3 linked regions of the Alligator mississippiensis genome follow. The protein of the gene in region 2 purifies or fractionates together with the protein of the main gene of each other region. This does not show direct contact. Links are inferred from orthologs where the notes say so. Each region holds a gene or a part of one and is shown on either strand. Other genes may lie near its edges. The genes, in order: SPAG9, RCCD1 and KDM8.

Region 1 (7,703 bases), on a different chromosome or scaffold from region 2:
TGTGTACTGCATGGAAATAACCACATAGGTCAGACTGCTCTGCAGCCCAGTACATTTAACAGTGTACTCCACTTCTGTGCATACTGGATCAGTGTAAAATTCATTTTACTGGTTAGCTTAAGAAAAACATGAGCTTGACATTGTGCTATCTGCATATCATCCAAGTACTTACACTAGTGAAGCATAAAGAACCTTTCAGACAAAACTACCTACTCGGTGATGTAATTATACTCTGTTTAACTGCATAATTAGCACCAGACACAACAATGGGAAAGCAACCATCAAGGGGCTGATATTAGAAGACTTGAAAATGACAGTATTTAGTCAGGTTCAGGGGTGCTGATACAGCAAGGACAGAATTCAATATTTAAGGAGCTCCGTTGACAGGCTATAACTTTAAACGGGGTATGCCATATATCTACGTATCAAACAGCTGTAAATTACATTGGTGGAAAGAAGTTATGTCCATTCCCTAAGCTAGTTATAGTTTCTGAGACTCCTAACAAGTTCTGCTGAAGCAACTAGGCAGCAAATCTAGTCCAGTTAATAAATCGGTAGAAATAGATCGTGAAGCAATTAAGTTACCACAAGAGTTGCAGAAATACCTACAGATCTGCAACTTCTCAAGAGTCCAAGAGCACTGATACAACTAATAGCATCATATTTTGTAGGGGTGTGCAAAGCTGGCCGTATTCAATTCAAATTCAACCCGAATCGGGGACAGTGATTCAATTTCTTGATTCAGACTGCTGTCCCTGATTCGATTCGGCCAAACCCAAAGATTCAATGCTGATTTGGAGTCAGCGATTCAGCCACAGACGCAGCTTTAAATGTTTTTTGTACATACTTTGAGGTACCAGGCCTGACTCGTGAGCGTTGCAATGCTGGGGCAGATGGAGCGTCCCGCACAGGAGCATGGGGAGGCACCCCTGCATGCTCAGCAACGAACCCAGAAGCGGACTGGAAGTACTGAGTGCACAGGGGCCCCCCCCACAGCTTGGTGATCGGGTTTGGGGGGACCCCAGGTGTGCCCCCCAGACCCAGGAGGCACTAGTTATTGAGCTGGAGGAGGACGCAGGGGGGGCCCCCCTGCATGCTCCCTGACAGGCCCAGAAGTGCTTCTGGTTCACTTCCACGTCTGCTGCCAAACGCACTGGGGAGTCCCCTGCGCTCTTACAAGACACTCTGCCCGCCCCAGCATCGCAGCACTCACGACCCGCCTGGTATCTCGAGGTATGTAGGAAAAAAACATTTAAAGCTATGCCTATGGCTGAATTGTCGAATCTTTCCAAATCTCTCTGAATCGATTAAAGGGTCTTCCGATTCGATTTGGATTCGGAGATTTGGCCACTGAATCTCCACTGAGACTATTAGTCTTCTTATGGATTTGGACACGCAAACTCGACTAAAATCTTCAGGGAAAAAGATGGGCATAGTCAGTGTCCTGGGAGAAAGAAATTTAAAGCCCCAAATGATAGTGTAAGAATACAAAATGATGATGTTCTGATGCAAGGGCAGCTTTCCTGTTTTCCTCCCTCCAAGACTATGTGAATTTGAATGAATGACCTTGTAACGCCCACACGGGCGGCTTACTGTCATCAGCCAAGTACCAGTCTTGAGCAACCTGCATTACCTGTTGCTCAGCTGAAGCGTCCCATTCCCTGGCCCTTGAGCTTTCCACAGGGACAAACCCTTGCTGCTTCTGTCCAGGCCACAACGCAGCGCCACGTCCCAGGCCGGCCGCCCCGGCCACTCACAAGTAACAGCCCCAAGTCCCCCCAAGCTCCTCAACCTCCATGCATTTGCCGAAGGGGGAAGCGGGCGCTGGGGAAGTCCTTAATGCCTGGCTCCCTGGTCTGCCCTGCCAGCAGCATCGCTAAGTGAGAAGGAAACCAGCTGTGGGGTGGAGGAGCCAGGACGAGGAGAGGGGCGAGGGGAGCCGACCTCGAAAGTCACAGGAAGAGAAAGAGGGAAAGGACCGGGAAGGGCCATGGGGCTTCTCTGCCAGTGCTAGGAGGAGGCCGGGTGGCTTGGGCACCCGGAGGGGAGGCAGCGGAGGCCACAGGGCTGCCAGAGGGTGCTGCAAGGGAAACTGCCTGGGGAGGCAATAAAGGGGGGGCACAATGAGCGGGGCAATGAAGGGAGGGATAGTGAGGGGGGCAATGAAGGGAGGGGTAATGAGGGGGGCAATGAAGGGAGGAGTAATGAGGGGGGCAATGAAGGGAGGAGTAATGAGGGGGGCAATGAAGGGAGGAGTAATGAGGGGGGCAATGAAGGGAGGGGTAATGAGGGGGGAAATGAAGGGAGGGGTAATGAGGGGGGAAATGAAGGGAGGGGTAATGAGGGGGGATAATGAGGGGGGCAATGAAGGGAGGAGTAATGAGGGGGGCAATGAATGGAGGGATAGTGAGCAGGGCAATGAAAGGAGGAATAGTGAGGGGGGCAATGAAGGGAGGGGTAATGAGGGGGGCAATGAAGGAAGGGGTAATGAGGGGGGATAATGAAGGGAGGGGTAAGGAAGGGAGGGGTAATGCGGGGGGCAAGGAAGGGGAGACTGAGGGGGCCGGTCCCCCGCCCCAGGGCAGGCAGGCAGGCAGGCAGGCGGGGCGGGGCGGGCGGGCGGCTCACGCACCTCCTCGGCCTGCTTGCGCAGCGCCTTCTCGCGCTCGTACTGCGTGAGGAGCTGCTCGTTGTCGTCGCGCAGGAGCTCCAGCTCCACGCTGGTCTCCTGGCTGTGCGCGCACACCGAGTCCAGGTTCTCCAGCACGGCCACCACGAGCGGCATCAGCTCGGCCACCACCTCCTCGTCGTAGCGCCCGATGAGGCGCTCGAACTCGCGGTAGATGGAGCCCGCCAGCCCCGACACCCGCTCCGACATCATGGCGGGGCCCGGGCCGCCCGGCTCCTCCTGGTACACCACGCCGTCCGCCAGCTCCATGGCCGCGGCGCTGCCTCGCTCCGGCGGGACGGGACGGGACGGGACGGGACGGGCGGCAGCTCCTGCTCCCTCTGCGGCGGGGCCTCGCCTACCGCGCGGGCGGGGCCGGGCGCGAGGCGGCGGCGCACGGCACTGACCTCACCAGGGCGGGGCGCGGGGCAGTGGCGTCACGGGCGGAGGGGCGCGGGCCGTGACGTCACTGGGGCGGGGCTTAGCCGGGGAGGAGGCGGGGTCGGTGGGCGAGCCGGGGGTGCTCTTGCGAATGTCTCGGGGCGGGAGACGCGTCGTGGAATCCTGGGACACCGCGGGCGATTGTGACGCCACCGAGCCCTGCGGGCCCCGCCCCCCTGCCCTGGCCCGGTGGCTGCGCTGGGGGCGCGGGGCAGGGACGGCTCGTGCCCTGCGCTGCTGCTGCCGCCTCCTGATGACACGTGGAGCATTCACAGGAGGCGCAGGAACCTTGCTTGGGACGAACGGAGTCACCGGCCAGACCTGGGACTAGATTTAAGGGCTCACGGCTCCCAGACCCGTGCTGCGCCCATGGGGCTTGGCCAGCCTCTGAGCACAAAAAGCCCGGCTTCTTCCTGAGGTGTAACAAAGGGATGGGACTGGCCCAGTCCCGGGATCTCCTGGGCGTATACGGACAACATTTCATAGAAGCAGGACGCTGGCTGCTGCGATGTCCCTGCTGCATGTGTGGCAGCTTAGGGGGTTAGGTCTGTGCCGTCAGGGTTGACGGTCCTCTTATGGAGAGGTTAGAATAGATGATGGTTTGTATGGGATGGTTTGGATAGATGACCTCAGGAAGTCCCTTCCAGTCCTACTTCTCTGTGATGCAGTTATCTTGTGCAAGAGTGGGTGATGGTGCCCGAAAGCTTGCTGAGAACTGTTTCCCAACTACTCAGTTGGTCTAATAAAAGATATCACATCTACCCAAAGAACCTTGCCTGCCAGCGTGGGATTAGGGAAGAATCTGTTTAAAAAGGCAAATGAATGGAGCAGTGACAATCTACCACCGGCAATTGTGTTATTTTCCACTGGAGAGCAGCAGAAGCTTACGTTACGCTTTCCTTTGTTTGGCCTGATCCAGAGGCAGTTACTGAACTTAAAATGTGTCTGCATCGTTTGTTTAAATCCACCGAGCTGGTGGGACTGCAGAGAGGGAAACTAGAGGAGGTGCAAGATTGAAAAGAATGTGGCCAAGTGTTTTGAAGATGTAGAAGAGTTATGTTCCTTAAACCAGTACCGTAAACAAGTATGGCCAGCCAAAAAGGAGCCTGAGAGTTAATTAGGAAGTACAGGGGCACACAGCTGACCTGTTTACTAGCCCAAACTGAGGAAAACAAGATGACATTTTCAGTTGTAATCCCATTTTAGGTCTGATTTGGCATGTTTTTCATACATGAAACTTTCAGTTAAGCTGTTGGATCACACCCTTGAATACATATCAGACATGGTCTTTCTTTAGTCTTTGTCCCTGGAGAGATCACCTGCAGCTTTCTTATGTTTCTCTGCCTTTGCTATTTCCTTGGCAAGGGACTGTTGAGAGGAGCTGACTTCCAGGATTTCTCTCATCCTTCAAGTGACCGTTTTACTCATTGCACAGCTGTTCAAACCAGTGGTGACACCCACTTCTCATGGATTTTCTACACGGCTTCACTAAACCTTGCAGGGATATCACTGACGGCAAAGTGGCTCCATTATGCCATCATCCAGACAGTCTTGAAGAGGCACCTTTCTGACTGAGGTGGGGTTTTAACTCCATCCTTGCAACCTTATATAGAAGAAGCGTTTCCTTTTTCACAAAGGAATTATTGTAAGCAAACTGAGATGGCTCTAAGGTGAAAAGGTTGATAAGTTTGAGTTTCTCTAAGTAGGATTTTATTGACAATTATTTTCATCAAATAATGCAAATGCAGAAGTTCCAGACACATATGTATTGCCAGACAGCAAAAATGGGTCACAGTGCTTTGCTGAAAGCCATCAAAGGAGGGGGCTCTCTGAGGACCATCTGTTCTACATCAGCAGTGTTAGTAGAAACAGAACAGAGAGGCTTTCTTTCGTATTGCTGTGGTAGTCCACTAGGACTCCAATCCAGCCAGAGGTTCCCCAGGAACCTACAAGCTAGGGGGATGGCTTTAATAGGCTATGGTCTGCTGACTGTATTATTTCCAGTCCGATGATGTTTCCTTACGTGGATCAGCACATTTAGAAAAACTGTAATCTGAAAGCATGTGTTGCAAGGGGATTTATGTAGGTGCTCATCATATCCTGCCTACTGGCCTGTCACTCTGCTCCTATTTTGTCATATGTACCTTTGAATTGGTTGTGGCCAGGAAGCTGATCATTAGAAACAGAAAAAGATGTTTCCACCCACAGGGATGCATAGCCTTGTTGCTTGCTAAGACATTAAGGAATTTTTATAAATGATCACCCTAGGCCATGTCTACACGTGCATTTACGCTGACTTAAATTTACTATGCAGTAAACTACTAGGGGCACGTCTAGTAACTGTGTGTGTGGACTGACTTGGGACTAAAATTAGTCCCAAGTCCATCCACACACACTGTTACTACGTAGTAAGGCATCTACATGTGCATTACTGTGCAGTAACTGGGGGTAAATTTGATACCTGCATGATGCAGGTATCAAATTTATGCTCAAGTCAGCATAAGTCACCATATTTACTGTGCAGTACAGGCGTGCACATGTAGACACATAGCTATACTGTGCACTAAATGCGCATGTGTAGATGTGCCCCTAGTTAACTAATTAAGCATTAAGGAGTAGGAGGCGCCCTGTCTGTTACTCTGAGATGCTAGGTGGTGTCCAATAAAGGAAAAAGTACAATTCATGCCCTTAGGAATTAATACCGGATAAAATGAGAGTTTGCCAGGTAGTGAGATACAAAATTTTCTCTATCCCTAGAAATGACAGTTTGTTTGAAAATTAAATAGATTTAAAAAAAAATACTGCAGAAGGAAATTAGGCCTCAAATGAGTTTAGGATGAAATTTTAACTGGGACATTACCCAGAGGAGATTATTTGAGTAGAAATCAAATACACCCTAGATGAGAGGGTGTGGTCATGATAACCAAATCATCAACATGCAAAGCTGGTGCAGCTACACATCACAGCTCTCTCAGTCTAATTATAAAGAGAAATATAAACTAAGTTATGAAGCTTGGAACCAGACAGCAATTTTACCCTTGCCTGGGGTTACAGATATATAGGGTTTTAGCTCATACCATGATAAACTTGGGACCAGAGCCACGAATTTAGGGTCCATATCTGCAATTTCCTAAATATTTTTCAGGTGTCCATATTCATGGCTTTGGGTTAGGTCTGTCTTGAAAAATCTCAGGTGGTATACAAACACGCTGGACTCAATCAACAGTTCACTGTTGTATAGCAGAGACATCTCCTTCACACTTCAGCTGTATGTTCTGTACATTTATTGCGCATCCCACAAATCCTTCTTTTATCCTCTCATTTCCCATTAAGAGCTTGCTGGCATATTATAACTTGCTAAAGGTTTGTAAGGGCTTTCCTAATTGAAAAGACATATGGATTCTGTTAAGAGGCAGACTGAAAATAAAAGTAACATTGTGATGATGAAGTATCTCTGGAGGACAGTTTTTTTCATATGACTGTTAAATGTTTACCAATTTAATACAAAATAAAGATAGTTTCCATCTCTATTCTGCCTTTTCCGTGATGTGCACAGGAATCCTGACCCATCGCTATGGCTGAAGATGAGATTCAGTTAAAAACAACTCAGAAGCTAAAAATCAAGAATCGAATCAACATTTATTACTGAGCTGCGTGGAACAATGACTTTTCTGGACTTACATGGGGGAGAAAAGCCCCTGACCAAAGACTTGATCCTGCGAACCAAATGTCTGTAATGCCTCAAAACTACAGAAAAACGGTATGCAGATAGTTTTTAAATATACCCAGAGAACTTAATGATGTAGAGATGATGATTGATTGGTTTGATTTTGATCGATTGATTATAAGCGCAACCACAATATGCTAGTTATTTTCCATACACTTCTTGAGGGAAGGTCGCTGCTTCAAGAAGATCAGAGACCAATATGTGCTGTTTAAATGTCTTTCCTGCTGGTACTGATGTCTCTGAATCTCATTTGTATTGATCAATAAGTAACTAGTGACAGGCACTGACAGCAAATCATGTAGGATGTAGACTCATGAGTCACTTACTACAGACTAAATTACTATAGAGTAAATTTACAGGTACAGGAGTCACTCCACTTAGTTACCCTCAGAAAATAAGTAACTGTATAAAGTATAAATTTTTCCCAGTCATTTCCCCCGGTGTAGCTGTTTGTTTAATGCAAACTGACTCCCTTCACCACCTCGTGGGCAGGTGCTCTAATAGCACCTACTACTGGCAGCTTGCTTCGGAGAAACGAACCTGAGTCTGTTCCTTACCACACCGGAAAATCCAGCATCAGTTACTCCATAGTAATTGTGTCACAAGTCCACATTCTGCTTTTTGGATCATTCTTGAAAGCACTAAATGCTTTCATACCCTTCGGAGTATCATTTGTCTGCAGGTAGAAACTATTTTAGTTTATGGGATATAACACCCACAGGAGCCATTTATAATTTAACTGACGGGGCTTTAATAAAATGACTCGTCATATTTAAGCTGTCCTCCTAAAGCAGAAATTCTCCATTGGTGCATGTCTGATTTTACAAACTTGCAGGGTCATGGAGCTGGATGCACTTATCCCTTAGT
Region 2 (7,657 bases):
TCTGGTCTCTGCCTTTCAACTCCTCCACGTCCTTTCCACCATTCATAGACGGAGGCTGGAAGGGACCTCGGAAGATCACCGGGTCCAGCCCCCTGCACCAGGCAGGAAAGACAACGGGGCAGGTGCCCGCCGTCTCTCGAATGTTTCCAGGGTAGGCGACTGCACCCCTCTGGAGGGAGCTTATCGCACAGTCTGGACACCCTCACTACGAAGTTTTTCCTGATGCTGAGCCTAAAATAGTCTTCCAGGAGTTTGTGAGCGTTGCTCCTGGTTTCTCCCCCATGTACCCTGGTGAACAGCTGTTGACATATTCCCCACATACAGCGGGAAGCTGCTACCAAGTCCCCCTCAGCCGTCTCTTATTCAGGCTGAAGAGTCCCAGGGCCCTCAGCTTTCCTCGGATGGCTCGCCGTGTACAACTCTGCTCAGACGGGTGCCTCTTCTCTGCACTCTCTCAAGCTTTTCCACGTCCTTGCTGACGTGCAGCACCCAGAACTGGACGCAGTCCTCCAGCTGCGGTCTCGCCAGTGCTGAGCAGAGCAAAAGCATCACCTTGGTTTTGCTGGAGATGCAATGGTTGATGCCTGCCATGGTGCTTTTGCCCGGCTGGCTACAGCCTCGCGCTGCCGGCTCATGGTCATACGTGGTCTATTATTACCCCTAGGTCCCTTTCATTCGTGGTGCTAGCCAGCTGGTGCTGTCAAGCCTGCAGGTGTGTTGGGGGTTGCTCATCACCAGGTGAGCACTTCACGTTTCTCAGCGCTGTACTTCAGCAGGTTCCAGTCTGCCCAATCTGCCAGCCTGTCTAGGTCCGCCTGGATCTATAACCTATCTTCAAGTGGGACCGTGTTCCCCATAACTTGGTGTTGTCCATGAACTTGGCCAGCGCGCTCTTCACCCCCACATCCAAATCCTTAACAAAGATGTTGAAAAGCACTGGACCAAGCACCGACCCCTGCGGGACGCTTCTGCCCTCTTCTTGCCAAGACGACACAGATCTGTTCCTACCCCACAGCCAGCTCCCGACCCACCCGCCTGTCTCACAGTTAAGCCCACAGTTCTCCAAGTTTTTCACGAGAACGGGGTAGGAAACCAGATCACAGCCCTTTTGGAAGTCAAGGTACACAGTGTTGGCCTCCTGAGGGTCCAGAGGCAGCAGCAGAGATGATCGAGGGCTTGGAAAGCAAATCCTAGGAGAGGCTGAGGGAGCTGGGCACGTTCACCGTGTGCGAAAGACACTAACGTGTGGTCAAGAGCAGTCCGTGCAGAGCTGCCCTGAAGGACAGGGAAAGCCCCTTTGCTCTCCTGCCGCAGGTGCCGACCCGTGGCTTGAAGGTGCAACAAAATAAATTTAGTTTGGATGCCTGGAAACGCTTCGCCCCCGTCAGAGCAGGGAGGTTGTGGGGGATGCCCAGGCAGGGGCGGGCTCCATCCCTGGAGGTGTTCAAGAAGAGGCTGGGCGGCCAGGGGGCAGGAGCGAGCCGGGCAGGCCTGGCGATGCCTGTTCTCCGCTTGGGTCTCCCTCTGGTTTGTGCTTGTTCCATCTGCGCCCCTTACTTATCGTCTGCCTCCCCGGAGGCACCGGGTGCTGGCTACAGCCAAGGCGAGGGACAGCAACGGGGCGCGCCGATTCTGCTGCTGGGACGAACGCCGGAGGGTGCAGGCGGGAGGGCCTTGCCCCTGCGCCCGGGGGCAGGCCGGTGGCCGTACGTGGGGTCAGGAGTGAATGTTACTGTAGCCGACCCTGGGGCAGCGCTTGCCTTTGTCTGCAGCAAGGGCGCGGGCTCGGCCCAGCGGGTCCCGCGCGCACCGGGGACGCTCCTAGAAGCAGGACGTCGGCTGCCGCAGTCCTGCCTTTCCTACAGCCGGACCCTGCCTCGGGCTGGGGCTGGGGCTTTGCCCCGCGCCGATGCCTCCCGCCCTGCGCTCAGCCCCGCAGCGCCGTCCCCGCGGGGTCCTCACCTGCAGCCGCCCCCGCACCAGGGGGCCCGTCGGCCGCGGCGCGGCGCTCCCTCGCCAGAGCCTTGCACGGCAGCGCCAGCTGCCCGGACGCGTTCCAGCCCCACACGTACAGGTCGCCCGCGTCTGCCGGGACAGCGAGAGGGCGGCCGTGTGGCTGCGGCCGCGGCTGCCCCCGCGCCGGGGAGGGCCCGTACCTACCGCTCACGCAGGCCGAGTGCCACCCGCCCGCCGCCACGTCGGCCACGGGCAGCCCCTGCAGCGCCTCCAGCACGCGCGGCTCCTGCTCCGCCTGCAGCCCGCCGTGGCCCAGCTGCCCGTGCCTGCGGGACGCGGCCGTCAGACCCGCGGGCCCGGCCCCGGCCCGACCCCGGTCCACCAGCCCCGCACTCACCGGCTGCTGCCCCAGGTGTAGACGAGGCCGGCGGCGCCCAGCAGCAGCGCGTGCTCCAGCCCCAGCGCCAGGCGCCGGGCGCGCAGGCGCGCGGGCAGCGGCCAGAAGAAGGGGGCGCGCGGCGCCGCGAAGCCCCCGGGCACGAGCGGCAGCGCCGGGGCGGGCGCGGCCGGCGGCAGCGGGCGGCGCCAGGCGGGGGCGCGCTCCTCCGCCCCGGCCCCGGCCCCGCGCAGCGCCGCCCACGAGCGCGCCTCCAGCGCCGCCTCCAGCACCAGCAGCACGTGGCCCTCCCCCGGCACCGCGTCCCGGCAGCCGCCCGGCAGCGCCGCCCCCGCGCCCCCCCGCAGCACCGCCGCGCCCGAGCCTGGAGGGGGGGCGGGGGGGGGGGGGGTCAGGGCCGGGGCACGCTCACCGGGGACGATCACGGCGCAGCCCCAGCCCGAGGAAGGGGGGAGGGGGAGGCACCGGGGCACGCTCACCGGTGACGATCACGACGCAGTCCCAGCCGGGCCGCAGCGCGCGCACGCCGCCGGGGGGGAGCGGGAGCGCGCGCGGGGCGGCCGTGCCGGTGTCGGGGCCGCGCGGGGGCTCGTCCGCGCCCTCGAAGCCGAAGACGAACCAGGCGCCCGGCGCCGCCATCGCCCCGGCCAATCGGCGCGCGCGGAGCCCGGTGGGCGGGACTTCCGGCCTCCCGCCCCGCCCCACCCCGCGCTGCCACGGCAACCCGCAGGAAGAGACGGAGGCCGCGCTGGGTGCAAAGTGCTGTATTGGCGCAGCGGCATCGCCCCGCCTCCCGTGCGCGGTGGCGCCCCCGCGTGGGCGCGGCGGGCGCGGCTCAGGGGCGCTGCGGGTGGGGCTGGATGAGGCCGTAGGCCACGGCGCGCGCCAGGCTGTCCTGCGCGGCGCGGGCCACGCGCGGCTTGTCCTCGTGCTGCTCGGCCAGCACGGCCAGGATCTCCAGCGCCTCGCTCGCCACCAGCCGCGCCGCCACGTCGCGGTCGGCCGCCACCATGTTCCGCGCCACCACGGCGCCGCGGTGCTGCAGCTCGGCGCTGTCGCTCAGCAGCAAGGCCTGCAGCACCTCCAGCCAGTGCTCCGTCTGCGGGGACAGCGCAGCGCGTGCTGGGCGGGCCGGGGGGGCGGGCACGCCGGCCTGCTCCCTGCCCCCCCCCCGCCCCGCCCCGCCCGGCCCCCCCGCCCCGCTCACCACTTGCGGGATCCTGCGGCAGACCTGGGGCTGCACCGAGGTGAGCATGGCCAGCGCGCCCGCCGCCGCCCGCCGCAGCTTCTCGTCGTCCTCGCCGCTGTAGAGCACCAGCAGCTTCAGCCGGTCGCTGCCCTCGGCCAGGAACAGGTCCTGCACCTGCAGCGCGAGCACCGCCGTCACCCCGGCCCCGCACCGCCCCGCACCACCCACCCACCGACCGACCGGCCCGGGGCGAAGGCAGCGCCCGGCCGCCGCGGGGCAGGGGCAGCGGCTCAGACGCAGGCCCGAGACCCCGGCAGAGCCGCGTCTCCTGCGGCCCCGGACGGGAACCCCGTCGGTGCCGATCTGCCTTCCTGCCCCGACCGCAGCGTCGCCCTGAGCCCGAGTGCGGGGGTGAGCTCCTCGCCGGGCCCGCGGGCTTCGGCCCCAGCAGGAGCGCTGGCCGAGCCCGTCCCCACGCCCAGCCCCAGCACCGAAGTTCGGGAAGGCACCACACCCCTGGACCGCGCAGCACCAGGAGTGGGAAAAGCCCCGCGCGGCCCCATGGGGCAGCACAGCCGGGAGCCCAGAGGGGCATTCATAGATGTCAGGGTCGGAAGGGACCTCAATAGATCATCAAGTCCGACCCCCTGCACAGGCAGGAAAGAGTGCTGGGTCTAGATGACCCCAGCTGGATACTCATCTAACCTCCTCTTGAAGACCCCCAGGGTAGGGGAGAGCACCACCTCCCTTGGGAGCCCGTTCCAGACCTTGGCCACTCGAACTGGGAAGAAGTTCTTCCTAATGTCAACGCTGCAGCCCCAGGCGTCGCCCCCGGCCTGGCCCAGCTGCTTCCATCGTTCCTGCCCAGGCCCGGTGTGGGGCTCTGCTTTGCTCGGCTGCTGCTGAGCACGGTCCCTCCAGCCTCCACCCGCTCCTCCACGCTGAGGTCTGATCCAGCCGCCTGGGTGCGTGCCGCTCTTCACAGCTCGCTCCAGGCATCGCTACGCCTCGTCATGCCTGCCCGGCGGTTGCCCAGCCTCTCCTCGACACCCCCAGCAGAGAGTCTGCAGCCTCCCTGGGTGTCTCTCCCGCGGCCTCCCCGCTCTGACAGCGAACAACCGTTCCTGGGCTTCAATCCAAACCTCCTTTGCTGCAGCGTCAAGCCGTTGGCCCATGCACTGCTCCCTGCTGCAACAGGAAAACCCAGCGGTTCTTCCTCCCGTTCAGGGCAGCCCTGCACGTGTCTGCACGCTGCTGCCACGGCCTCCGAAGTGCCTTTTCTGCAAGCTGAACACGCCCAGCTCCTTCAGCCTCTCCGCACGCGACTGCTTTCCAAGCCTTGATCACGTGTTGCTGCCTCTAGAAACTGCCTCCAAACGCAGGGCCCGGAGCTGCACGCAGATTCCTGACCATCACCTCGTCTTGTGCCTCACGCGTCTATTGGCACAGCCCAAAACTGCATCCGCCTTGTGTGCGGCTGCACCACCCTGCCAACCCCGTCAAGTCCGTGCTCTACTGGGACCCCCAGGTCCTTTTCCACAGAGCTGCCATCTGGCCGGACGTCCCCCCGTTTGTATCGGTGTTTTGGATTATTTCTCCTGTGCGCAGCACCTTGCATTTGTCCGCGCTGAGCTTCGTCCTGTTGCTCCAGCCCGGCTTTCCCGTCTGTCGAGATCCCTCTGAGCTGTGCTCACATCCTCCAGGCTGTTCACAATCCTTCTGTTTTGTCATCTGCAAACTTGCTCAAGAAGCTTCCTCTGCCAGCACCCAAGACAGACCCTGTGGGACTCCACTCGAAACCTCCTGCCATTGTGACGCGGACCCGTTAATAATTACCCTTTGCTTGGGCTATTGAGCCAGGTTTCCCCCCACCTTGTGGTAGTTTATCCAGCCCACACGTCTCCAATTTGTTTATGAGAAGGGAGATCACGCGGGGCCTCGGCACAAGCCTTGCTGCCGTCCAGATACAACACCCGCAGCATTCCCCTCGTCCAGCCAAGCACGCACTTTGCCAAAGAAGGAGATCGGGCTTCCCATGATGTGTTTCATAATCCCTGCTGGCTGCCTGCGATCAGCTTCCTCCTCCAGGCGCTTGCACATGGTCTTCCTTAGGATCTGCTCCAGTAACTTCCCAGGACAGAGCTGAGGCTACCCGGTCTGTAGGTCCCCGGGTCCTTTCTCCCTTGTTTAGAGGGACGCTACGTTGGCCCTTTTCCAGTCCTCGGTTACATGGCCCGTCTCCCATCATCAGAAGCTCTGACCATCTCTTCTGTTATCGCCCAGCCCGCCTGGGCCAATTCCTCCGTGGGTCGCCCCCTGGCACCTGCCCACGGACTCCTGGAGCTGGGTGAAATCCGCCTTTTGGCAACCTTACACGTCAGTCCTGCTGACTTCCCGCTTCCCTGTCTTGGGATCGTGACTTCCCCTCGTGTCTGCTTCCTCCCAAGCTTCCCATCACTTTCACATCCTCCCGGCGGGTCAGACTCCACGTGAACCTGCAACGCGGCACAGCAGCAGAACGCCGAACGTGGTTCCAGGCTGCATCAACAGGACACGGGAGGCGACGCCGTCTCCGTGCCCAGCACACATCTAGAGGACTGCCAGCAGCTCGGGGCTCCTCGTTTTTGGGAGAGGTTGAGAGAACCAACTAAGTACGGTCAGCGTGCAGGAAAGACGGTTTGTGAAGGGACAGGACAGTGGCCCGCATGCCCCCGAGGGCTGCCAGAGGCCAGGAGAGCACCTTTCCCCCATCGCCGCAGGGAGCGGGACGCGCAGCCACGGCATGAACTTGCAGCACCCAGCCTCGTGGTCAGAGGGACGGATGTGGGGTTTTGCCTTCCTCCGTAGCAGGGGCACGGCCTCTTCCTTGAGTCTCTTGAGCACATTTTGACACCCCTTGCAGCAGCAGGGTGCTCCCAGCACTCCCGCTTCACCTGTCACAGGTCACGGTGCTTTTGGTGTCGGGACAACGGGCCTGGGAGCTGCGTGGCACGGGCCCGTTGGTGGAGCTTTAGGAACAGGCCAGGTTTCCTGGTGGGGGGACCACAAAGGAAGTCTTGCCCCCACCCCGAGTGCCACTCCGAACCTCTCCCCTGCCCGATCTGCTGCTCCACTTCCTGCTCCCTGCCGTGTTCCCAGCCTGATCTGCTGCTCTACCATCAGCTCCTTGCCCAATCCGATGCTCTGCTTTCTGCTCCCTTACACCATCTGCTGCCTGTCCCGTCCATCTCCCATGCACTGCGCACAGAGACTGCCAGTGCCACTTGTAGCACAGCTGGTCACCCCCAGGTTAGACAAGGACTTTTTGGGATGATCCTGCCATGACTGGCGACCTGCAGGTGCTTCTAGCCTGATTTTCCTGTGATTCTGTGACCCCAGGATCCTTCTCCGCCGCACCACGCACCTCCCATCCGTGTCTGTGCTTTTCTTTCTTCTTGCCGAGCTGCAGCACCCTGCATTTGTCAGCCTTGCACTTCACCCCGCTGGCTCCAGCCCAGCCTCACTCTGTGGGGATCCTGCTGGAGGCCGCGTCTGTCCCCAGCACGTGCTGGTTTGGGGTCACCTGCAGACCTGCCTGGGAAGCTCTCTATTCCAGCACCCAAATCACTGCTAGGCCTGCTGAACAGCGCTAGGCCCAGGACAGACCGTGGGACTCCACACAAAACCTCCTGCAGGTCTCACATCAAGAGGTCAAAAAGGGGGGGATCTGCACTGGGCCTGATTGAGTTCAGCACGTTCAGTAAAGATCTGTGAATGGGTACACAGGAAAATCCCCACGCTTGCAGATGGCACCATATTATCCTGGGTAGCCAAGGGCCAGGCTCACGGAGAGGAGCAGAAAGACCTCCCTGAGCTGAGCGAGCGGGCAACAGGACGGCAGATGAACTTCAGCATCGACAAGTGCAATATAATGCACGCAGGGAAAATAACCTCAACTCCACGTACGCGGCCTGAGGTCCTGAACTAACTCTAGTGACTCGGGAAGGAGACCTTGGAGTCACTGTAGAGCTCTTTCAACATGTCAGCTCAGTGGGCAGCAGTGACAAGCTGGGCATTGTAAAGAAGGGAAATGTAAGCGAAATGGAGATCACCCTCGTGCCCTTATACGAATCTGT
Region 3 (7,478 bases), on a different chromosome or scaffold from region 2:
GCCAGGCAGCACCCTGCGCCCATGCCAGCAGGCTCGGGCGCCTCTACACCACTGTGCAGTCTGCAATGCAAATATACCTCAATAGGATCCTCCAACAAGAAGGCGAAGGAACCAGGAAGCGTCTCAGCTGACATCCACAGTACAGACTGCTGTCACCAGTCAGCTCTCGTTTCTTCACTGCCCATGACTGACATGCAGTAATATTGGAGCTTATAGTCTTAGAACTCATAAAGCCCCACACATCCACCGGAGGAATAATACTGCTGGCTATGGGGTTGGCCTGATGCTCCTGACCTGCAGAAGACCCTGCTGTTCCAGGGTCAGGCCACATAAAAACAGACGCTAGCTAGGGCAAAGAAAAATCCAAATGATCTTTCAATAGGAGAACATCCCCATTTTGCCTGCAACAGCACCAGAGCTACGCAGGAGAGCTGAGGTCTCTACAACTGCACGGCTATCTTTTTCATAACAACCCTAACAGTGGTGAGGAGAAGAGTTTGGTTTCTAGTCACACCAGCATCTCTGTTGCAGAGATGCAAATGCACGCACACACAGAAAGCAGGTCCACTGTAGAGACTGCAATGAATATTCATCGCATGAGCCTCCTGACCGACTCTGTGCAATGTTCAAAACCACCCGAGCTGTAAATCCCCCCGTGGGCAGCCCCACTCCACCCCTCATAGAGGCAGAGTAATGGGCATGTGTAGCACAGTACTCCCCAGCACGCGACTGGTGCTATGTCTGGCTCTTGGAAAATCTCCCCAACCTTCTGATGCTGCACGTTCAGGCCTGAACAAGGAGCAAGCAGTCACGGCTGCAACCAGCCTGAAAATGTGACTGGCACAGTAATCCATAGACCTGTTTATAAACCCGAAGCTCGCTCAAGACCCCCTACGAGCAGCTACCTGTTCTAATAAGCTCTGGCCAGACCACCAAGGGAGAAATCCTTCAGTCCATTAGGACACTGCCGCGTTTGTGGAGATAAAACCACGTGGAAACAACAGACCTTGTTCACAATATACTGACTGATGAAGTCATCCACAGTCATGAGTTCCTGAGACCATTCTTCATCTGTGTATCGCAAACCTAGCTCCACGGGGACTGTGCGCCACCCAGCAATTTCACGGAGGTAATCCACACTGGAACAAAGCAGGTTCATTACATTTAGATTTCATTTAACATCTTTGTTTTTATCGAGTTTAAATGTAGATAGGAAATCAGGTTTCTGAGGGGGGTTTATGCAGTGCTAGTGTTCAACGCACAAGGCAGCTACCTTGGATAGTTTAACCCTTAGGAGGAACACGGGAACATGCCGACTATTCCAGCAGCAGGCCACCGTGCCCCCAGCAAGGCTAAGGATGCAGACAGCAAGGGCCCACGCGGGCGCACGCACCTGCACCGAAATGCTACAAGCTGTATTCATTTTTGAAAAATGTGTTGCCAATTTAGAAGAGCTGGTCTGAACAACGAGCAGCCGTTTAGTCAATGGACCTGGCTTCTCCCTGTACTTATGAAACACCAGCAACCAGATGGTTTCCTCAAGTCCGAGGGGTTTTTGTTTTGCAAGTGTTACCCTGTGTATTCATCATGAACATTTCGCTACACGGATGCAACACTCAACATGTGAAAGTTTAGTTGTGAGTGGTCTGATGAGCTGCACGGTGTTACTTCTACCTTACAACTGGGAAAGTTTCACTGAATGTGGCTGCAACATTTGCATTTTTGAATGAAAAAAGTGGTTTCTAATATTACTTGTACATACAGCTTTGAAACTGAAATTCATGTCAAATATTAGTAAGTCATGTTCACAAGAATACCTAAATAAGTAACGGTCATGGATGTGGCTGAGAAAATTGAGCCATACGCCCACCGAGTCCCGGGCGCTATACACGCAGCTCCCGTTTACAATTAAACACTAAACCACTAACATTTGCACCAGGAAACTCCCTGCACCGGCTCCTGCAGGGATGGCCTGGATGCACAATGTGCTCCAACATCCGACTTCTACATCCTGCGATTAGCAACGCCTGAGCTATTAGGATGCGGTTTAGCAACTTGCATCTGTCACGCTGGAGTCCCGTTAGCAACGGGAAACCCAGCACGCGGCGTGGGAAGACGTTACTTCCCGCGCGTCACGGGAGTCAGTGCCGCACCTCGTTCCTCGGGGAGCCGGGCGAGCTGGGGCAGGGGCACGAAGCGCACCTACGGAGGACGAGCTCCACTTGCTCACCTCCACTTCCTCATACACGGCCAGTGGTCAACGACCCCCTCCAACACCACGGGCTTCTGCGGGATGAAATGGCTCTCCCTGAAACGCTCCAGAGACGGGCAGCGGAGCCGCGGGACGGCAGGCTCCGACGCCAGCTCCGGGGCCGCGCCGGCGTCGCTCCGCATCCTCTGCAACGAGACCCCGGGTCAGCACCCCCCGGCGCACCGACCAGGCACCGGCAAGCGCGGCCCGGGGGCCCCGTGCGGCCTGCCAGCAGCGCAGACATTTAACGTTTCTCTGCCCGGGCGGCCCGGCAGGCGGGTACCTTGGGGGGCGGCGGCGGCGGGGCGGGGGCGCGGGCGCGGGGCAGGCGGCGCTGCAGCAGGCGCGCGAGGCGGGCGAGGGCCCCGTCGAGGACGGCGGCGCCCAGCAGCAGGCCGCGGTCGCAGGCGCGCAGGGCGCGGGCGGGCTGGCCCAGCAGCGCGAGCGCGCGGAAGAGGCAGGCGAGGGCGAAGGCGCGGCGCCAGCCCGGCTCCACGTCCCGCCACGCGCGCGCCTGCAGCCGCTCCCACGCGTAGTCCGCCGCCGCCCCGGCCGCGCGCCCCAGCGCCTCCAGCTCCCGCGCGCGCGGCGGCCCGGCCCGCGGCGCCCCGCCCTCGTACACCAGCGCCCGCGCGCGCTGCAGCAGCGCCAGCACCGGGCCCGCCTCCGCCTCCAGCGCCCCCAGCGCCGCCGCCACGTCCGCCTCCGCCCCCGGCAGCACCGCCCGCGCCTCCCCCCACAGCGCCGCCGCCGCCGCCTCCGCGCCCGCCATCCCACGTGCGCCGGAACCCGGAAGCGCCAGACTCCCGCCCGCCACGCCCCTTCCGGAAGTACCGCGCCGCCGCGCCGCCACGCCCCCCGCGCCTGGCCACGCCCCTCCCGCCGCCCATTTAAGCCCGCCCTCTGCTGCGCGCGCGTCATTAGCGGGGCGGGAGCACGTCGGGGCGGGCGCGCCAGCGGCGTGAAGTGCACGTGCACGCACCGAGAGAGAGAAATAGAAATACATAAATAGCTAGACAGACAGACAGACAGACAGACAGAGGCAGGCATAGAGAGATACCGATATCGATCTAGCGCTACAGAAAGGGGCTGTGGCGGGAGCTTCTGTGCGCACACACACCACACCACACCGCGTGCCTCGCACCAGACCCTTCATGTGGGCCGCGGGCGGGAGCGGGGCTCAGCGCGCAGTGCTGCCTCCGCGGGAGCGGGGCTGTCCCTGGCGGTGCTCCGGCCCGGGCCGCGGGGCCCGACCTGCTCTTTGCCTCCTGCGCCCTTTGGCCTTTGCAAACACTTCCCTCCTTCAGTCTCTCTCTAAGCCGAAAACCCGGTGCCACGTGCGTCTCCTCAGGGAAGTTGCGCACTTGGTCCCACCAGGGTTTCCGACATCCCCGGGGTTGTCCCTTGCCCCTGATGCGGGACAGGCGGCCTGGACGGACGAGTGCGGGCACTGTTGCGACGCCTCATGTCCCGTTGCTCCCTGTATCTCTCCCTGGGCGAAGGCCGCGCCGCACGTTGCAGCTCCTGCCCGGTCGCTTCCCGTCGCCCGCGGGACGTTGCGGACGGGACCTGGCACGTCTAGAGATGCCCCAGAGCCGCCCCGACCGGCGTGGTTCCCAGTTTACTTCTCTGTTTATATTTCTTCTGTCAGTTTTGAGTCCTCACCTCTGCGCAATGTGCAAGCTGAGTCCAATTAGTTTTTCTATTAAGATTTTATGAGGCAGGTCTCGAATCCTTCGCTAACGTCCAAATATATTACATTTAACTGTGAGCCTTTCATCCATTAATTTTTGTAATACTACAAGGGGGGAAAAAGCAATCACGCTTGTCTGGCGAGATTTATATTTTATAACCTCCCAGCGTTGTTTATGCTTCATGGGTTTTTACCTTTCAGATATTTAGTGAGTTTTTAAAAATAATACATCTCCCGTTACTTTGCTAAAGCGGCGTTCGAGTTAACAAGGCAACGAGGGGGCGTTTGACAAGACGCTTCCTTCTCGCTTTGAACATGCTGCGTTTTCGTACTGCCGTTCGATGGCGCCTCCCCAGCTCGCGCCTTCTTAGAAACGACGGGCAAAACGAGCGAACATGCGAAGCGTGTCAGAAAACATGGTTTTCGTAGATTGATTGGTAGGCCGGGAGGGACCTGGGGAGGCGGTTGTGTCCAGGCCCCGGCACCAGGCAGGAAAGGCAGCTTGGCTGATGTAACCGCGTCGCGCTTCCGAGCCCCCCCGCGCACCCTGCGTCCATCCGTATTTTTGCTGGGATTGTGACTCTTCAAAGCTCCCTTTTCCCATTGAAGCATCCTGCGTTGTCACCTTCACCTGTGGGAATTTGTTTAAACCATTTTACCAAAGACGCCGTCTCCTTCTGTGGCTGCCCAAGTTTTTCTTCACATCTGTCCTGCCAGTATCTCTGCTTGGTTGCTTTGGGGTTTTTTCCGCGTGTAATCCACTCAGGCCTTATCTCATTTTACTCGGATTGACTGCTCGGGGTTCAGGGGCGTTAATGGCTGTGAGGCAGTCACCGTCATCGTGGAGGGGTTTTGAGAGAGCAATACGAAGTAGTGGGGTCAGGGCTAAGAAATGCCGGTCGAGCTGTTCCGGTTCTCGGGCGGGAAGAGACGGGTGCGATACAGGTCTGCCCTGATGGGCGTCTCGATGTTTAGGAGAAGCGTCTGGGTTTGGCCCTGATGCAAGCGAATCCTGGCCTCCCCTGACCCCGGGAGGAGCACGGTGTGTGCTAGGACTGAGGTCATTACGGGTTTGTCTTGCACCTGCCTGACAGTATTTCCTAATGAGAGGTGTAGCTCTATAACGTATTATCTTCAAACATCTATTTTATGGCCAACTGCAGCACAGGAGTGGAGAACTAAACCTGTTGTAGTCAGAACAATAAACATGTATTATTTATCCGTATGGATCTTGGATTCGCAGCTGCCAGCGTGCATTACGTGGTGGTGGGACGTCGGAGAGCCAGGGCTCTTAGCCAATTTGCGCCAGCCATGGAGAGGCTAATGGATTTTTTCTTTACAACTTTACAAAAAGCTAGGTGGAATTATTTAGGAGCATAATTTTTCCTGTGTCCATTAGGAATGTTACATAGCCATTTACAAATTACTTTTGAAAGCTTCAATTTTGTGTGAAAAACAACTTGTTCAGGTTGTTAACATTTAACATTCAAGTTAAAATGGCTTAAAATGCTAACTAAGGATTATTTTCATTTCCATGTTTTATTTTTAGGGAAAAAGATGAAGTTTTAATGATGGGTTTTGTCTAGAACCATTTGTTTTTAACCACATTACTGGTGTGAGCAACTTGTTTCTGAAAGCTGCAAAATTGGCCATTAGTCTGTGCAAACACAATATAAGGGGGTTTTAGGCTTTGCGAAAGGACATTGAACGTAAAACTATAATTTAGCAACAAAGGCCGTTTGCTGCTGTTGCAGGAAAGCTGAAGCTAAGCAATGTATATCGGATGTGGAAACCGTTAGGCCTTACGTACCAGTGGCTGCCTGCACCTCGCCCAGAAAGACTTAGAGATAGGCCAGGAAAGGAGAGAGAAGTGCGTCAGGTCCCTGACGAACTTTCCTCTTCTGTATCGCGTCAGAGCATCGGCACGGTCCGCTGGCCCCGGCTGTCCAATCGCTCTCGGTCCCAGGCCCTGCAGGCATCCTTGCTCCCTTGGACTCACCGTAACGTTCAGTTCAACACACGATGAGCTCTCTTTCTTTTCTCTCAGTATATATGAAACAGGTTAGAAAACACAGCAAACACCGCTCTTTTGCCATGGTCCCTGCGGGGTGCTCAGCACCCGCTGGACAGGCTGTACGCGGGGGCAGTCCCTGGGGGAGCTGGGTTACAACCACGCTGCAGCTGCACGCGTCTCCACCTCCCTCGCGCCACGGTACCTATTCTAGCATATAACACACCACCACTGGGAAAACCAAATATTTGCTAAGTGAACAAGGTATGTTTTCTGTTAAAAAAATAATATGTGGGGTAACAAGCCAGCACTTTGTACTGTAAATAATAGGAGAGCGGTTGCAGCAGAGATTGCGGGGTGGAACTGACAATTTCCCGCAATGTCATTAAACCCATCTGAGGGGAACGGTTTCTACGGTGGATTTGTTCTTGGAAGACAGCAGCCTGTCTTGTTGTTGGAGCAAAAGACGGGTGGACTCCATCCCTAGACCACCGCTGACCTCCATTTCAGCACGGAAACTGCTACAGCAACAACTGAAAGAAAATGCTTTGCAAATACGAGGTGTGTGCTGAGCTGGATTTAACCACAGAAAACCGATAGAAGTCTCATATCTGTCAGCTGACTGACCAGATTAACCCTCGTCCCTAGGAGTTTGCTTGCAAAACCATTGTCACACTCATGCAGGGCGTTAGCTGTATTCTCCCACCCGTAGCAAAGGCCCCAGCGCTGACCACAGTGTTGTACAGTGACAAACTCCTGCTCAGCTAAAGGGAAAGGGGGCTTGCATAGCAGCCGTGTGTAATGTGTGATGTTAAGCAAAGCACAGTCTGCAGTGGAGACAGCACTTTGTCTGCTGAAGGAATCGCACGTTCAAAACTGCATGCTTAGAGGCACAAGTATCAAGGCAGGGCTTGATATGGGGTATCTGCTCGTGTGTACTTTCTTTGAGACGTTTCCACCTAGTACCATTTTGTTCTGAGCCAAGCCTTTCCACTGATTTAATCTGACCCATAATCTGAAGGTGTTGAGAAAACTTTCTGCTAAAAATCATCACGCGATACGGCTTTTAGCAGATGAGAAGAGGGGCTGACGGGGTTTGAGACTAGCACGCTGGCACAGCTAGCACCCTTTATGTAAGGATACTCCTCGGGGGTGGCAGCATGGTGGGCGCTGCGGGATGACGGAGACGCCTCAGAGCATCTCAGAGATGGAGCTCTTGTTTGGGCTGTTCTTTTGTTTTTGGAGTTGTTTTCTTTGCTGCTTTTCTTCCTGTGGCCTCAGCAGCTACTAGGGAGATTACCATAATTTACTCAGACTGATTTTATATTTTTTCACTCCAGATTTTCATTAAGTCTTTGATCAGGGACTGAATAAGGAGAGACCTGTATTCTTTCAAAACACAGTGTAAATCAGGTGAAGTACAATAAGAACAAAGGCAAAGTGCTGTGCTTAGGACTGAACAATCAAATGCCCAGATATAAATTGGAGAACACTTAAGTTGCAGTGCTGCAGAAAAGGATCTG

The links.
Region 1: the proteins of RCCD1 (region 2) and SPAG9 purify together in Homo sapiens (affinity purification with mass spectrometry; 3 studies listed by BioGRID and IntAct, counting the BioPlex papers as one, with this or other methods). This does not show direct contact. The link is inferred for Alligator mississippiensis from reciprocal best matches to the Homo sapiens genes RCCD1 and SPAG9.
Region 3: the proteins of RCCD1 (region 2) and KDM8 purify together in Homo sapiens (co-immunoprecipitation; 3 studies listed by BioGRID and IntAct, counting the BioPlex papers as one, with this or other methods). This does not show direct contact. The link is inferred for Alligator mississippiensis from reciprocal best matches to the Homo sapiens genes RCCD1 and KDM8.

What each region holds. Positions count from the first base shown.
Region 1 is NC_081831.1:10,431,697-10,439,399, reverse strand, and holds the start of SPAG9 (C-Jun-amino-terminal kinase-interacting protein 4), read right to left. Parts: upstream 3,056-7,703; 5' UTR 2,939-3,055; coding exon 2,633-2,938; intron 1-2,632. UniProt on the Homo sapiens protein: The JNK-interacting protein (JIP) group of scaffold proteins selectively mediates JNK signaling by aggregating specific components of the MAPK cascade to form a functional JNK signaling module.
Region 2 is NC_081834.1:798,601-806,257, reverse strand, and holds the start of RCCD1 (RCC1 domain-containing protein 1), read right to left. Parts: upstream 3,076-7,657; 5' UTR 2,993-3,075; coding exon 2,833-2,992; intron 2,718-2,832; coding exon 2,354-2,717; intron 2,283-2,353; coding exon 1,963-2,282; intron 1,822-1,962; coding exon of another isoform or gene 1,730-1,821; exon of another isoform or gene 1,632-1,729; intron 1-1,631. Other genes in the region: UNC45A (protein unc-45 homolog A), read right to left, coding at 3,189-3,452, 3,561-3,716. UniProt on the Homo sapiens protein: Plays a role in transcriptional repression of satellite repeats, possibly by regulating H3K36 methylation levels in centromeric regions together with KDM8.
Region 3 is NC_081836.1:59,275,183-59,282,660, reverse strand, and holds the start of KDM8 (bifunctional peptidase and arginyl-hydroxylase JMJD5), read right to left. Parts: upstream 3,048-7,478; 5' UTR 3,024-3,047; coding exon 2,535-3,023; intron 2,398-2,534; coding exon 2,231-2,397; intron 1,140-2,230; coding exon 1,007-1,139; intron 1-1,006. UniProt on the Homo sapiens protein: Bifunctional enzyme that acts both as an endopeptidase and 2-oxoglutarate-dependent monooxygenase.